Sus scrofa: one gene and its partners. The protein of the gene in region 3 purifies or fractionates together with the protein of the main gene of each other region. This does not show direct contact. Links are inferred from orthologs where the notes say so. Each region holds a gene or a part of one and is shown on either strand. Other genes may lie near its edges. The genes, in order: DUSP9, DUSP6 and MAPK3.

Region 1 (5,820 bases), on a different chromosome or scaffold from region 3:
CCCCGCTGCCCCGCGCCCGGGCGCGCCGCTCCTCCAGCCGCAGGCTGCGCTCGAAGTCCAGCAGCTGCCCCATGAAGTTGAAGTTGGGCGAGATGTTGGACTTCTTGCGCTTGACCAGGTCGTAGGCGTCGTTGAGTGAGAGGTGGAGCTTCTGCATGAGGTAGGCCACGGTGACGGTGACGGAGCGGCTGACGCCCGCCAGGCAGTGAACAAGCACCCCGCAGTTCTGGGACAAGGCCTCGTCTGGGGGGGGCGGGGGGGGGCAGAGCGCGGCCGTGAGGCGCGGGCGCGGGCGGCCTCCCGGAGGGCCCCTCGAGGCCGTCGGGGGCCCGAGGGCGGAGGAGCCCCGAGAGCGAGGGCCAGAGGGAAGGCGCGGGCGGGGGACTCACCGATGAAGGCGATGGCCTCAGGAAAGAACTGGGACAGGTTCTGGCTCCAGTGGTCCGAGATGGGGATCTGCTTGTAGTGAAAGTCACCATTCTTCTCGAAGAGGTTCGGGAGGTTGGGGGTGACGTTGAGGATGTAGCGGATGCCGAGCTTGGCCAAGCTCTCCACATTGGCTGAATCCCGGGCACTGCCCAGGTACAGGTTGGGCAGGATCTGGACGGGGAAGGACGGCAGCAGCCCTGCTGGGGGGGGCGTGGCGCCCTCCGAATCCAGGCCGCAGCTCATGGAGTCGCGGTCGGGCTCAGATTCCCCATCGGAGCAGTCGGAGCCCAGACACAGGCCACCCAGCCCCACCACGGGGCTGGGCACCGGGGCTGCACTGGGGCCCCCACGGCTGTTGAGGCTGGTCTCACACAGGTGAGGGCATTCGGCCTGGAATCTGCTGAAGCCACCTAGGAGGGGACAAGGGGAGGGTCCTATGGACCTGGCCTCCTGGGCAGCCAAGTGTTCTGGCTGAGGAGAGGAAAGCGAGCCCGGACCATCTCAGTGCCCCAAGGGGCTCGCAGCCGTCTCCAAAGAGAACCTGCAGGCCAGCGGCCTGACCTACCCTGCTGTCCCGGGTGGTGCGCTAGGGACAGCCCAGCCATGCTGGCTCAGGACCAGCGCCCACCGCCGCTGCAAGATGCCAGGCCCAGGCAGGGCACCCCAAGAGGCTATAACAACCCCGGGGGCCGAGCCAAGGCAGGCAGGAAGGCTCCATGGAGTTTAGATGTCCTGAGAGCCTTGGGGAGGACAGCAGCCATCAGTTAAAGAAGAGGAAACGGTCGGATGTGAGTTCTCTGCCTGGGTGTCTCCCGATCCAGCCTGACCAGGGAGCACTCGAGGGCAGAGACCAGGTGACAGCCATGTCTGTGCTGCCTCCAGGGATGAAGCTGGGGCCCCAAGAGGCAGAAGGCCTGGGAGAGTGTAGCACTCCGCCTGCATGGCCCCAAAGTCCCAAGAGGCGCACACCTCCACCTGCAAATAACTACGATTTCCTCGGGTGCGGGGGGGGGGGGGGCTGGAAACGCAGTGTTTTCTGTATTTCTATATCCTGGTGCACTCAGAATGGAGCAAGTGACGACGGTTCAACGAACCTCCTTGGGGCGGGGCGGGGCGGGGGGGCAGCTGGCTCTGCAGGTTCATGGGCATCCTGTTGCTACCCTGGATCTCTGGGGGTGTTTGGCTTGGCAAGGAGCCAGTGTGCCTGCATCAGCCCACCTCCCCTCCACCCCCAAGCCCTGCCAAGACTATAGGGGGGCCAGGTCTCTGCCTCTTCTTGCCTTCACTGCCTCTCTCCCTCTCTCCCCGCCTCTGCCCTCTCCAGACCCTTTGCAGAGTGGGATTTGTCCCAGCGCCTGCCTCCCTTGCCCATGGCTGAGCAGCTGGGGGAGGTGGGGATAGGGCTCGGAGCCCACACTGGGTCCTCTATTCCTTTTTTTTGGGGGGGGGTCTTTTTAGGGCCGCACCTGCAGCAAGTGGAGATTCCCAGGCCAGGGGTCCAATCGGAGCTGTAGCTGCCGGTCTACACCACAGCCCCAGCAACGCGGGATCCGTGTCGTGTGTGTGGCCTGCACCCCAGCTCACGGCAATGCCGGATCCTTAACCCACTGAGCGAGGCCAGGGATCGAACCCGCGTCCTCACGGATACTAGTTGGGTTTGTTACCGCTGAGCCACAACGGGAACTCCCTTTTATTTTCCTTTTTTTAAACCCACTGAGTGAGGCCAGGGGTTGAGCCCGCACCCTCATGGATATTATTCAGATTCTTAACCAGCTGAGCCACAAGGGGAACTCCTTTTTTTTTTTTTTTTCTTTTTTTCAGCTGCACCCGAGGCATATGGAATCCCGGGGCCAGGGAATCTGAGCAACAGCTGCAGCAATACCATATCCTTAGCCACTGTGACGGCTGGGGATGGATCCAGTGCCTCCACAGAGACAAGCCAGATTGTGAACCCACTGTGCCGCAGCGGGACCTCCGTGGATCCTCTATTCTGGAGGCCGGCCCGATTCGCCCCATCTTCCAGGCTCAGAAACGGGGGCTCCCAAGAGTGAAGGACTTCCCCAAGGTTACGGTCAGGGTCCCACCTCCACTTTAGACAAAATGAGGCCAGACTCGCCCAAGGTCAAAGGAATTATGACTGCCCTCAGAAGGCATAATGCTTCCCCTGGGCCAGGGTCCTCCCCAGGCTGGTGCCCGCCGGGCCACCACCCGCACCTACCCTGCAGGTAGTACGCCAGGTAGCCTTCCTCTCGCAGCTTCTGGAGCAGGGTCCCCAGCACTGACTCGGCCTCCCATTCCTCGGCTTCGGCCTCTGCCTCCCCGCGCCTGTGCCGGCCCCCGCCCTGGTCGTACAGGAGCACTGGGGCGGGCGGGGGCGGCTGCAGCGGGGGCCCGGGCAGCAGCGAGCGAACCGACAGGCTCCCCCGCCGCAGGCGGCGCAGGAGCAGCGCGGGCAAGGCCACGCTCAGCGCCCCGCCGATGCGCGCCGACTCGTACAGCTCCCGGCTGCGGCAGTCCAGGAGCAGCAGCCGCGGCCGCGGGGGCGACAGCTCCCGGCGCAGCCACAGGCAGGAGCGGCCCAGACCCTCCATGGGCTCCCGGCTCCCGGCAGATCGGGTCTCAGGAGCTGCAGAGAGAGGGAAGGAGCTCGACGTGAGCCCGTGTCCTTCGCGCCCGGCCGCGAAGGGCCGCGGGCCCAGGGGCCAAGACGTGAAGCCAACCCCGTGTCCCCAAAACGGGAGGCTGGGGTCCCCCGGGGACACCCTTCTACCGCCCAATCCTCCTCTGGCACGCCCCTAGACAAATACCCGCGCTGCTCCTCGGTCCCGCAGAAGAGGGCAGCTGGGCGTCCAACGGCCCCTTCCAGAGCCAGAGCCAAGCGCCGTGTCCCGTCCTGGCTCCTCCTGGGGGGCCCAAGGCCACAGCCACCTTCCCCCACATCCCCTTTCCGCATCTCTCACTCCGCCTGCCCGCCGCGCCCGCACGCACTCTCTCCACTTTCTGGCTTCCAACTTTGGGGGCGGGTGTGAGCGCACGCTCGCCTGAGGGGGGCGAGGCCGAGAGCCCCCCGTGGCCAGGCAGCCTGGGGAACAGAGGTGGTGCCGAGGGGGGGGCTGGACCTCGGCTGGACCTCTCGGAGCTGCCTCCCCCAACCCGCAGGAAACAAAAGGAGAGAGACCTGGAGCGTGATCCGGCGGCGAGCGGCCGTGCATGGACGTCCCAGCCACGGCCACCGCAGGATGTGGGGCACTGGCCCCGGGCAGGGTGTCCTCGGGCCCGGCCACTGGGAAGAGGGCGGGCCGGCGGAGCAGGCGCGCACGTGGAGGCCGAGTCCACCACCGCCGGCACACTGGCCGCTTCCTGGCAGCAGGACCCAGCTTCCACCTTGGAAGCCGCTGCCTTTGGACGTGGAGTTGCCGTTTAGAGGGGCGGGGCGGCGGGGGCGGGCTCAGGGGGCCAGCGAGCCAACGAGTGCCAGTGAAAGCAGTTGAGTGGGCCCTGCAAGTGGCGCGCTGAGCCGGGGCTTCCACCGAAGCGGGACAGGGCCAGGGCAGAGGCCAAGGGCAGGTCAGGGGCCCAGCAGGGGACCAGCTGCAGCTCCCCCGGCCGGCGCCAGTCAGGCCCCTGGAGGAAGGGGGAGGGGTAAGGACAAGGGCCCAGCGCCCCTGCCCCAGAGGCTGCCTCCAGCTCTACTCATCTGGGGGGACCCGGGACTATCCTGAGCCCTGACTGGCCTTGAGTGGCCCTGTCTACATAACAGGCTCATCAGAGCCACCACCTTGGGCTACCAGGGGAGGCCCCTGAAATCACGGAGGGGAGGAGGAAGCAGCACCCAAAACCCCTGCTGCTCAGGCCCACAGCTCTGCTCTTCCCGCGCTATGGATCCTGGCAGCCGCCCCAGCTTCTGGCTTTGCCTCCTTTCTCGGCAAGAGCCGCGTACTTTCGACTTCAATGTCTCCCGCCCCTGTGCTGTCCCCTCTCCCCCCTGCCCTGGCACAGGGCATCCTCACAGCTTCCAAGGCCCTTGCCCTACCTCCCGGCTGCCTCGCACCTCCTCGGCACCGTCCCGCGCAGCTTATCCACTCAGCGAAGGCCGGGGGGCCTCCAAGCCTTCCATGGACACAGGAGGATCAACAGACGGGACACACTGGCCCCTGCTCGCCCGGCACGCCCCGGCTAGCGGCTAGCGGGACAGGCCGGCAATAAACGGGGAGACCGAACAAGATAATACGGGGCATGATAAGGGCTGAGACAATGAAATAAGGTGGGGGAGCTTTCTGAAAAGTCTGGCTCTGTGTCCCTTCTCTGCTTAAAACCCATCTAAAGCAAATAGCAGGGCCGAAGGAAAATGTGCAGCAGATAAGATAAAGCTCATACAAGTTAATCAAAAGGTTAAGGCTCCAATAGATAAATGGCCAAGGGACCAGAAGAGACCGCGTGGGCGGGGAGATGGGACCCAGGGAGAGCACCGCAGGCGAGTGAATGACAAACACAGGCTAACACCTCCCACCTGCTACACTGGGAACGGGGTCTCAAAATGAGAACACCCAGTGCTGGCAAGGATGCTGTGAAATCGGCCTGCCACTCGATTGCTGGTTTCTAGAGGGTTCTCTGCTGGTATGGCCCTTTTGGAAATTAATCCGGTGACATGCATCCAAAGCTAAGAAGAAATGCCAGCCACACCCTCTGGCCACTTTGGGAAATCTACCCCAAAGAACTCAGTAAAAGAAGGCAGAGCGATGCACACAAGACCTGGAACTAGGGAGTGAAGTGTGCAAAGCCACTTTAGGAGGGCTCAGTCCAAACGCTCACTCCTCGCTGGGACCACAAAGTCCGATGAGACCACTTGGGAGGTAACGCAGGTTGCAGAGAGCCAGGGCGCCTCCGAGGGGCCTCTAGCGGCCCCCTGCCTCCCATCAGTCCCGGTGTCTGGGACCGCCTGCAGCCAGGCGCCTCAGGCAGCTGGGCTGTGCCCCTATTCCCTCCAGCCTCAGCCTCCCCCCCCCCACCTGCAGCCTGTCCCAATACTCTTCCTTCCTCACCCCTCCAGGCACCTTCCTGGGGCAGGCTTCTCTCTCCCTCCTCTGTGCTCCAGACCGCAGTGCCCAGGTGGGGGCACTTCCTTTCTCTTACATCCCAGCTCCCAGAGGCAGAGCTGGGCTGCCACCTGCCCACTGGCCTGCTGCAGCTGCGGGCAGGAGCCCAGGGGTGGGCAGGGGCTGAAGGCACCAAGGGGCCCGTCAGTGTGCCAGCCTAGGGCACCTGGCTCGGCAGTGCTGTGGGGAGTGGGGGTGGCAGCCCCCGCCAGGGCCCTCTCCAGGGGGCTTAGTGTGGTGGGAGAGAAGGGTCGTGGACCCCTGGAGAGCTGGGAGCTCCTGAGGTGCCCAAGCG
Region 2 (5,769 bases), on a different chromosome or scaffold from region 3:
GACCTCGGGTGCCCTCTGCCACACAGCAGTGGGCGCACAGCGCCGGGAAGGGGGGCGGCAGAGGCGCTCCCCGCCGAGCCGCTGCCCCCGCTTCCGCCTCCGCCGCCGCGGCGGGACAATGCGCAGCCTCTTTTCCGCCGCGGGTTCGGGAGGGGCAGCCGGATTAGGGCCCGCGCCTTCCGGCCGCAGCCCCCAGCCCCACCCGCCCCGCCTGCGCGCCGCGCCGGCCGCACACAGGTGGTTTTCCGCTCGGGAGCGCCAGGCCCGGTGCTTGTATGTAACAATAGAGTTCTGCGCGCCGGGAATGCGCCTCCCCGCCGCCACGGCGGCCCCGGCCCGCCACGCCTCCATCCGGCCCCCAGCCGCCCGCCCTGCCCCGCGGTCCCCCGGCCGAGGGGGCCTGCCCGGCACCTCTCCAATTACCTGCGAGCCCTGCACCGTGGCGGAGACGTTTCCCAGGACTCCCAGCTCGCCTCGGGAGCGAGGGGGGCCCGGCTGGCGTTCCTCCTTAGCCCACACCTGCCCCAGACCCCCAAGTCCCACCCTGGGCCCCCCCACCTGCCTTGGGGGTCGCCCGGCGCCCCCGCCCGCTGAACGCGGAGGCGGAGGCGGCGGGCGCCGGCAAGGAGCGCAACGCGCAGGAGCGGGCGGTGCTGTGCGAGTCGCCGGCGACGCAGGGGAGGGGGCTGCTGCCGCGCAGGGAAGAGGGTAACCCCGCGCGGGATGTCGAGCGTGGGGGCGGGCGGCCTCTCCTCTGACAAGCCTCTGGGTTTACAGTAGGCAATGCGCGGAGCTCTCCTGAGCCCCCGCGGCCTGCCGGCCTCGCAGGAAGACTTCCTCACGCTTTGCGGATGGTGGGGGCTGCCTGCCCGGCTCCGGACGCCCTGGTGCACCTAGCCCAGGCAGCCCCGCCAGGCCGGCTCCTCTGTCGGAAGCTGAGCTCGCTGCTCAGAAATGATGAAGGAGCGCGACCCCCGCCGCGTGCAGTAGGTGACGGCGGGTGAGGGGGTCGGATCCCCGGAACAATGGCTCATAACGCCCCCACGCCGCCTGAGAGGAATAAAAGCACCGGATTGCCCAACGAGTTTGTTTCTACAGCCTCCACGGTTTTTAAAAAATAATTAAAGCGCTATTAAAAAAAAAAAAAAAGCTTGCTTTCTATTATCTGGACAACCAAGCATTTGTTTGTTTGCTTGCTTAAAAATGTTTCAACAAAACCCTGGTTTGTCTCCAAAGATGTTGGATTAGCATTTAACACCTCATCGGTCACTAAAGCCCAGGCAGTCCACCAGCCCCAACACAGTCTCGGCTAAAAGAACATCGAAGCAAACAGAGCCGGGCTTTTTAAACTGGCAAACAAATGCCACACACTGCCTACGGGAGGAGGGGGAGGTTAAAGTGAACTCCAGTCCAAAGGAGTTTAAAGGGAATAAAAGCGAAGAAGTCAGCACTAGTTTCCCTAAAGCTAGCTTGCGCGCACAGGCGTCGCGAACAACGGCTTTTGTGCCTGCTAATTGCACCATTTGTGCGCAAAAGTTCCGACGCTAAGTGTGAACTCTCAACAGAAGGAAACATGAGACAACTGAAGTGCCCTGGTTTGTGTGCCCTGCTCCTCCTCCGCCGCCGCCTCCCCTTCTTTCTCCTTCCTCCCGCCGAGCCCGCTGTTGCAGCTTGTTTGCACTGGGGCTTATCCGGAGCGGAAATTCCTTTCCGTTTTTGTGAATGACAAACTCATTAACAATTCATCAACACAACCTGTTCCAGCCGGCCCGTCCCCACGGCAACAGCCCCTTCCGCAGCGTGCTCATTGGCTGGCGGGGAGAATGTATCCATTGAGACGCTCGCTGTTTGTATCCATTGAGGAGCTGCCTCGCGCAGGGGGTGTGCGAGGGCTGAGTCCAAGGGAGAGTGAGCAAATCCAGGCTTTAATAATCCGAGGAGAAAGCCGCCCGGGTGGATTTGAGGTGCAGTTTGGAGGGAGGGCTCAGGAGCTGCTGGACTTTTTTTTTTTCCTCTCCTCTCAGTAGCACGAAGTCCGAATTAATTGGATTTCATTCACCGGGGAGGAACAAAACTGTCTGGGCAGCTTCATTCAAAGAGATTCATTGACACCAAGAGCGTGCGGCTGCAGCCGGGTGCAGAGGGAACCGCCGGCTTACTTCTGTCTCGCTTGCCCCAACCGCTAACCCGGCTCGGGAAAGGAGAGGTGGCATTAAACCCCGCTCCAAGAGCGGCGGCTTTGGCGCGGCGCGCTCGGCCTATGCCTGCCCCGAGGGGAGTCTGGTAGGCACCTCGCCCTCTCCGGCCGCTCGACCCCCATGATAGATACGCTCAGACCCGTGCCCTTCGCGTCGGAGATGGCGATTAGCAAGACGGTAGCGTGGCTCAACGAGCAGCTGGAGCTGGGCAACGAGCGGCTGCTGCTGATGGACTGCCGGCCGCAGGAGCTGTACGAGTCGTCGCACATCGAGTCGGCCATCAACGTGGCCATCCCCGGCATCATGCTGCGGCGCCTGCAGAAGGGCAACCTGCCGGTGCGCGCGCTCTTCACGCGCGGCGAGGACCGGGACCGCTTCACCCGGCGCTGCGGCACCGACACCGTGGTGCTCTACGATGAGAGCAGCAGCGACTGGAACGAGAATACGGGCGGCGAGTCGGTGCTCGGGCTGCTGCTCAAGAAGCTCAAGGACGAGGGCTGCCGGGCGTTCTACCTAGAAGGTACGCGCCGGGGGCGTCCCGCGCCTGGGGCAGGGCGGGGGACCCCGGCTGCGGGTGCAGGCGGGGCGCGCCGACTGGAAGCGCCCCTGTGGCGCTTGGCTGGCGCTTCAGAGCCGCGCTGTGCGCCAGGAGCTGTCTGCCGGCTCCCGGCGGCGAATCTCTCGCGGCCCGCGAGCCGGGCCCGCGCGGAATCGACCCGCTTCCGGCCACAGGCACGCGTCGTTTCTTTGGAACTAGCTCTTCTTTTTCCTACCCGGCATATCCCCCACTTTCCCTCTACGTTTGATTTTGAATTCAGATTTCGCAGGACTGCAGAGGCCGTGGGGGTGCAGGCAGGCACCTTCTGGCACTTGTAGATACTCAGAAAAGTTGCCATTTTGTGCATTTCCGGATTCAAAAAAATAAGGGTTCCCAGGGGAGGCGGGCCTGTTCGTTCTGTTCCCAAGGGTGCACCTTTAAGTGCCTTTCGCCTGTATTTGTCTCTGTGTTTGGGGGGTGGGGGGGTAAGGTGCTGTGGTGTGTTTCTGAGCCCGGCTGCGGCTCTCCAACCTGTGAAAACTACTACGGTATCTCGGGTTACAAGATTGCTTTTCTCGTCCTGGCAGGTGGTTTCAGTAAGTTCCAAGCCGAGTTCGCCCTGCACTGCGAGACCAATCTAGACGGCTCGTGTAGCAGCAGCTCCCCGCCGTTGCCAGTTCTGGGGCTCGGGGGCCTGCGGATCAGCTCCGACTCCTCCTCGGACATTGAGTCTGACCTTGACCGAGACCCCAATAGTGCAACAGACTCCGATGGCAGCCCGCTGTCCAACAGCCAGCCTTCTTTCCCCGTGGAGATCTTGCCCTTCCTCTACTTGGGCTGTGCCAAGGACTCCACCAACCTGGACGTGTTAGAGGAGTTCGGCATCAAGTACATCTTGAACGTCACCCCCAACTTGCCGAACCTCTTTGAGAACGCAGGAGAGTTCAAATACAAGCAGATCCCCATCTCTGATCACTGGAGCCAAAACCTGTCCCAGTTTTTCCCTGAGGCCATTTCTTTCATAGGTGAGACTAATAGCCCTCACGCAGCCTTTTAAATGCAAAATTCAGAACCATTCCTAGAGTTCGAGGGGTTCACCTTTCTTGTTGCTAACTTGTGGGACTGCAGGTCTCTACGTTCCAAGGGCATTCTCAATTCTGTCGCTTAGCTTCTTGTTAAGAAAAAGGGCCTTTTGACAAGGCGGCAGGCCACAGGTGTATTTGAAACGCTGTCTGCTTCTTGACCTGGAATTCAGTCACTGGAAAGGGGGAGGGCACTCAGAAGGAGACAGCAGAATCCCCCCCACCCATCTTTGGACTCAAGGAGGGCCGGGTCCCAGAGGTACACAGGGTAGACAGGAATTCTAGCATGGCTTTGTAATTTTAAAAGCTCTTCGAGTTGCAGGACACCACGGTGTCCAAAAGCCCTGTGAATGCTAGATGTTGTGATCCAGCTGGACGTTCCTGTGACACTGCTTAGCAGTGAGACGGCGAGGGTAACCTGAGCACAGCAGGAAGGACTGTGGGCCGAGAGCCTGGAGAAGCGAATCTCCAGGCATTGTAATGCATTTCCTATTACAAAGGAACTCATTTTCAGGCCATGTCGACATCCTGTTCCTCCTAATGGGCTGTCCCCTGTGACTTCCCTCTCTCTTTTAAAATGCCTGAATACCTCCATTGTTAGCGGCACAACAGTTGGAGAATAATTTAATAGACCCTTGCAGTCTGCTTGTCTGTATAAAAGGCATTCACGACCATATTGCAGGGTTTCTGGTATTCACATGCTGAGGCAAAGAATGCACACATTAAGGAGTTTTTTGTTGGCAGAAACTTAATACAAAAGCTCCCTTTTCAGAAAATATCTGAAATATGTAATTGTGCCCAGTGTACATGTTTTATCGCAGGAATACATTTTCTGCTGCCTGCAGGGCTCAACTGCCACACACGATTATTTTTTATCTTTATTATTACTGCTGTTACTCAGTTTCGAGACTGAGCACTCACAAAGGGTGGTTTTCGGTCTACTGACATTTTGCCTTTCTTTTTGTGTGTTTCCAGATGAAGCCCGGGGCAAAAATTGTGGTGTCTTGGTGCATTGCTTGGCCGGCATCAGCCGCTCGGTCACTGTGACTGTGGCTTATCTTATGCAAAAGCTCAACCTGTCGATGAATGATGCTTATGACATTGTGAAGATGAAGAAATCCAACATCTCCCCCAACTTCAACTTCATGGGCCAGCTGCTGGACTTCGAGAGGACGCTGGGACTCAGCAGCCCCTGTGACAACCGCGTCCCCGCCCAGCAGCTCTATTTCACCACCCCCTCCAACCAGAACGTCTACCAGGTGGACTCCCTGCAATCCACGTGAAAGGCCCCACGCTGGGATGTGTCCGTTCCTTTAGCAGTTTCTCTTAGCAGCATCCACTGGGCTGCTTTCTTTGTATGTGGCCCCAGGTGTCACCATGACACCAGCTGTCTGTGTTAGACAAGGTTATCACGTGTGGAATTGGCTATTACAAAGGGAGAGGTTTGCTCCCTGCTCGTTGGAAGAACAGGCCATGCTGTATAGATAGGGGCAGTAGGTTTGGTCCACACCCATGTGTACAGCCTACCCCTGCAGGGACTGGAACTCGAGGACTTCCAGGTATATAGGGTAGGACCAAATGGTAGGTGGGAGCATGAGCTCTTTAGGGCCTCGTATGACTGTTTCCTTTTGCGTCTGGAACTGACTCTATCTTGTCTTCAGTGAAGACCGATGCAATGTTGCATATAGAGGAGCCAAAGAGAGGTTTCAGCTCTGTATTTGTAGTATCAGTTTGCAAAAAATGAAAATAAATAATAACGCAATCAAATGAATCTGATACTCCATTTGATTATTGTAAATATTTGATCTTAAATCCCTTGACAGTGTTTGTTTGAATTGTGTTTGTTTTTCCTTTGATGGGTTTAGAAAAAAATCATCCAAAGGGGGAGAGAGCAGTATACCACTTCTTCAAACAACAAAATAGAAACTTTGGCTCTTTCCTAATCCAAAGG
Region 3 (4,463 bases):
TCTCATTTTCCGACCCTGACCATCCGAGCCGTGTCCCCCACCAGCCTGCCGGAGCCCTGACCTCAGCTCCCCTCATGTTATCTGCGCAGCCGAGTGGGATGCGGCTGGGTTTCCTTATCTGGGAATGGGGCTAACCAGGAGCACCCGGTTCAAGGTACTGCTCTAAGGACTGGTGAGTGAACACACGGGAACCTCTTTGCTAAATGCGTGGCGCTTGGGAGGTGTTTGCTCTCCTTATCAGGACTGTCTCCAGGAAACTGAGGTGGAGGAGGGTGAGGTGTCTTGCGCAAGATCAAGCAGCCCTTATTACGCATCAGAGCCGGGCCTTGAACGCGGGGGTGTCCGCCTTCTGCTATCAGGCCGCAGCTGGCCTGGGACAGAAGGGAAACTAGAGAAGAGTGGGGGTGGGGGGAGGCCCGGCAGGGTCCCCCACAGGTATGTGAACTGCTGACCTGATACTAAGTGTGAAAAGGCCTGGCATATATGGGTCAGGCTGGGTGCTGGCAGCTCCTCCCAAAGCAATTACTGCTCCACCTGCCTCTCTGCCCGTCCAAGGGGAGCCAAAGCCTGGTTCTGCTCCATGATGGGTGGGAGGGGCCCTCAGTGACCTCTGAACGCTCGCTGGGGCTGGAGTTGCCAGGGGTTGATAGATGGGAGACGTGTGGGGCCGGAGGGGACCACCGGGTCTGTGGACGAGGCTGGCTCTGGTCCTTCTGTTGCCACCACACCTGTGGCTTGTGGATATGGGAAAGCTTGGGACTGCGTGGGGGCCTGCTGGGCGCCCTACTCTCAGGGGGATTCTGGGCGTGGGTGGTTGCGGGGCACTCACCAGGCCCCAGAGAGCAGAGGCATCTGTCCAGGTTAGGGGGCCTCCAGCCCTCCGGGCTGGAAGCGGGCTGTTTCCTGGAAGATGAGTTCCTTCAGCCGCTCCTTGGGTAGATCATCCAGCTCCATGTCGAAGGTGAAAGGCTCTTCGGCCACTGGCTGAGGTGGCAAAGAGGCGGGGAGGCTCAGGACAGGGACCCAGGGGTGCCCACCCATCCGGCCTGCCTCTCTGGCTGGCCCACCTCATCTGTTGGGTCGTAGTACTGCTCCAGGTAAGGATGAGCCAGTGCTTCCTCCACTGTGATCCGTTTGTTGGGGTTAAAGGTCAACATCCGGTCCAGCAGGTCAAGAGCTAGGGAAGGGCAGGGGTCAGGGGTCAAAGGGAGGGCCAGAGGAGCTCCCAGAAGCATTACTTTGCTTCTCTGTGTCCAGCGGCCTGTCTACTCAGGCAGCTGCAGGGCTCATGTACTTTCCCCTGCACCCAGGTTTTTTTTGTCTTTTTGCCTTTTCTAGGGCCGCACCTGCGGCATATGGAGGTTCCCAGGCTAGGGGTCCAGTCAGAGCTGTAGCTGTTGGCCTACGCCACAGCTCACAGTAACTCGGGATCTGAGCCGCGTCTGCGACCTACACCACAGCTCCTGGCAACGCCGGCTCCTTAACCCACTGAGCGAGGCCAGGGATCGAACCCGCCACCTCATGGTTCCTAGTCAGATTCATTAACCACTGAGCCACGACAGGAACTCCATGCACCCAGTTTTTACCAAACACACACTGGCTCCCACGCTTCTCTCACCTTTGGGGTCCGACTTGGGGAAAAGCTTGGCCCAGGCCACCTTGGTCTTGGAGGGCAGAGACTGCAGGTAGTTTCGGGCCTTCATGTTGATGATACAATTCAGGTCCTCCTGGGATGGGGAGCCCAGGATACCTGTGGGTAAGCAGGTGACCCGGTGAGCAGCCTATTCCTTCTGGGAACGAAAGGAGCCAAGAACAAACGCTCCTACCAACTTACTCGAGGACGACAATTATCTCACAGCCGATACTGCGCTGGCAAAGAGCAAGAGGTCTGGCTCTGGGCAGCCCTAGGTTCAAATCCCAGCTCTAGCTTTTCCTAAGTGTGGGGCAGATGTAGTCTTGCTGTTCCCATCTATCCAAGGGGGACACTCTCAAGTGAAATACTGTGAAATGCTCAAGGGGCTGCACACACCGTGGTCCCCCCGACCTGCCTCTCACAGACTCTCGGACACTGACCCTGACCTTTAAAGAAATCTCACCTCCAATAGGCTAATCCCCCGCCCCGACCCAGCTGGCCAGGCCCCCCCTCACCCAGAATGTGGTTGAGCTGGTCCAGGTAGTGCTTGCCCGGGAAGATAGGCCGGTTGGAGAGCATCTCAGCCAGAATGCAGCCCACAGACCAAATGTCTATGGACTTGGTGTAGCCCTGGGGAGGAGGAGAAAGTGGCAGGCTCCCACCCCAGTCTCAACAGGGCCCTGCTGTTTGGGCCAAGCCACCTCCCGCCCCCATCCCTGAAATCTAGGTTCAAGGCCAGCCAGGGAGGCAGAGGGCAGAGGCCCAGAGAAGCTAATCTGCAGTTTTGTTCCCAAGAACCAGAATGAGGTGACAAGGCCCGGGAGGTGGACTTCCTGCATACGGGCACGGGGGATGTCAGTGCCTGGCTCAGAGGCGACTCCAGGGCTTTCTGGAACCCGGCCCTTTCACTTCATGGGTTGTGGGGGCGGGGGGGCTACCTTGGAGTTAAGCATGATCTCTGGGGCCCGGTACCAGCGCGTGGCCACATATTCCGTCAAGAAGCCAGTGTGGTCATGCTCGGGATCCGCGATCCGGGCAAGGCCAAAGTCACAGATCTGGAAGGCAACCCAGGCTGCTAAAGCTCGGGGCTCAAGACCGCCTGGGCCCAAGCAGTCACAGGGCCATGCCGCTGCCCGTGCGGTTCCCTTTGCTCGTGATGCTCTGCCACCCCTGGGTGCTACGGGTCACCGGGAAGCCTGAGACCCAGGGGCAGGATGGGCACCCAACCCTCTGACCTTAAGGTCGCAGGTGGTGTTGATGAGCAGGTTGGAGGGCTTTAAATCCCGGTGGAGCACGTTGGCGGAGTGGATGTATTTGAGGCCCCGCAGGATCTGGTAGAGGAAGTAGCAGATGTGGTCGTTGCTCAGCTGCTGGCTTTTGAGCAACTTGTACAGGTCTGTCTCCATCAGGTCCTGCACAATGTAGCTGCAGGTGGTACCAGAGATTCCCCCCCCCCAGGTGGGGGCGGCAGGTGGCACTTGGTTAAGAAAAACAGGCTCTGGTGACTAGGATGCGCCCCTCCAGCTGATGCCCCTGGGACTTAAAGACCTGCCAGCTAACCCTAACCCTAACCCTAACTTAAAGACCTGCCAGCTTATATGAGCAAGGCTCATACTCAGCAGGTGGGCTCAAGACCTCTGCTGGCGCTCAGCTGGTGACCCCTGAGCAAAGCACTTCAGTTACGTGGCTTCCGTTTCCCTACTGGGAAAGGGAGGACAATACACTGCGGGAGGCAGGAGAGCGTCACAGTTAAGAACAATAGCTCTGGGGAGTTCCCTTTGTGGCTCAGTGGTTAAGGAACCCGACCTGGATCCATGAGGATGCGGGTTCAATCCCTGGCTTCGCCTCAGTGGGTTAAGGATCTGGCATTGCCGTGAGCTGTGGTGTAGGTTGAAGATGCAGCTCAGATGTGGCATTACCGTGGGCTGTGGCCGGCAGCTGCAGCTCTGATTCGACCCCTGGGCCGGGAACCTTGATATGCTGTGGGTGCGGCCCTAAAATGCAAAAAAAAAAAGAGCATCAGCTCTGGAGGTCACCTGCCAGCATCTCAATCCCTCCTCCACTGCTAATGGGTCTTATGACCTTGACCATCTATGCCTCTATTTCCGCATCTGTAAAGTAGGGAAAAGAACTCTTCTTTAGAGGAGTTCCCGCTGTGGCACAGCAGGTTAAGGACCAGGGTCACCCCAGGTGCCATGTGGGTTGCAGCTGTGGCTTGGAGTCGATCCCTGCTTTGGGAACTTCCACACGCCACTGGTGTGGCCAAAAAACAAATAAACAAACAAAAAAGGAATTGTTCTTTAGAGAGGGTTGTAGAGATAAGCTGAGATGATCCACGTGGAGCACCAGCCAGCGCCAGGCATGTTTTAAGTGCTTGGCAAACATAAACTAGTATGGCTGTTATAAAAGCCTGAGCCGCACGGCTGTTGAGAAGGTTAAATGAGATACTGTATGAACACCATCTGGCATGCAATACATGTTTGCTTAAAAATAAATGCCTGCCTTCTGGGCATGGTTTGTGCAAGACAAATGAGGAGAAACCCCCAACAGCAGGCTCCTACTCAGGGTGCTTGGCCATACACCCGAAGATCGAGGGGTATATGAGTCCTTTTAGATCCTAAGATAAAACAGATTAAACATAAAGAAATGTCACATGACTTGTTTCTGGAAGAATAAATTAGGACTGTCAGAATCGGCCTCAAAAGGGCCTTCTGAGAACATCCGGACCAACCCTGCTGCGTTGTTTGTTGTTGTTTTTTCTTTCTGCTTTTTAGGGCCACACCTGCAGCATATGGAAGTTCCCAGGCCAGGGGAAGAATGGGAGCTGCAG

The links.
Region 1: the proteins of MAPK3 (region 3) and DUSP9 purify together in Homo sapiens (affinity purification with mass spectrometry; 4 studies listed by BioGRID and IntAct, with this or other methods). This does not show direct contact. The link is inferred for Sus scrofa from reciprocal best matches to the Homo sapiens genes MAPK3 and DUSP9.
Region 2: the proteins of MAPK3 (region 3) and DUSP6 purify together in Homo sapiens (affinity purification with mass spectrometry; 7 studies listed by BioGRID and IntAct, with this or other methods). This does not show direct contact. The link is inferred for Sus scrofa from reciprocal best matches to the Homo sapiens genes MAPK3 and DUSP6.

The regions. Positions count from the first base shown.
Region 1 is NC_010461.5:124,407,309-124,413,128, reverse strand, and holds the start of DUSP9 (dual specificity protein phosphatase 9), read right to left. Parts: upstream 3,589-5,820; 5' UTR 3,370-3,588; coding exon 3,237-3,369; intron 3,056-3,236; coding exon 2,648-3,055; intron 840-2,647; coding exon 390-839; intron 244-389; coding exon 1-243. UniProt on the Homo sapiens protein: Inactivates MAP kinases. Has a specificity for the ERK family.
Region 2 is NC_010447.5:93,301,201-93,306,969, forward strand, and holds the start of DUSP6 (dual specificity protein phosphatase 6), read left to right. Parts: upstream 1-1,857; 5' UTR 1,858-2,318; coding exon 2,319-2,718; intron 2,719-3,323; coding exon 3,324-3,761; intron 3,762-4,793; coding exon 4,794-5,101; 3' UTR 5,102-5,769. UniProt on the Homo sapiens protein: Dual specificity protein phosphatase, which mediates dephosphorylation and inactivation of MAP kinases. Has a specificity for the ERK family. Plays an important role in alleviating chronic postoperative pain.
Region 3 is NC_010445.4:18,292,446-18,296,908, forward strand, and holds part of MAPK3 (mitogen-activated protein kinase 3), read right to left. Parts: intron 3,059-4,463; coding exon 2,869-3,058; intron 2,689-2,868; coding exon 2,572-2,688; intron 2,264-2,571; coding exon 2,149-2,263; intron 1,751-2,148; coding exon 1,619-1,750; intron 1,178-1,618; coding exon 1,068-1,177; intron 985-1,067; coding exon 862-984; 3' UTR 830-861; intron 1-829.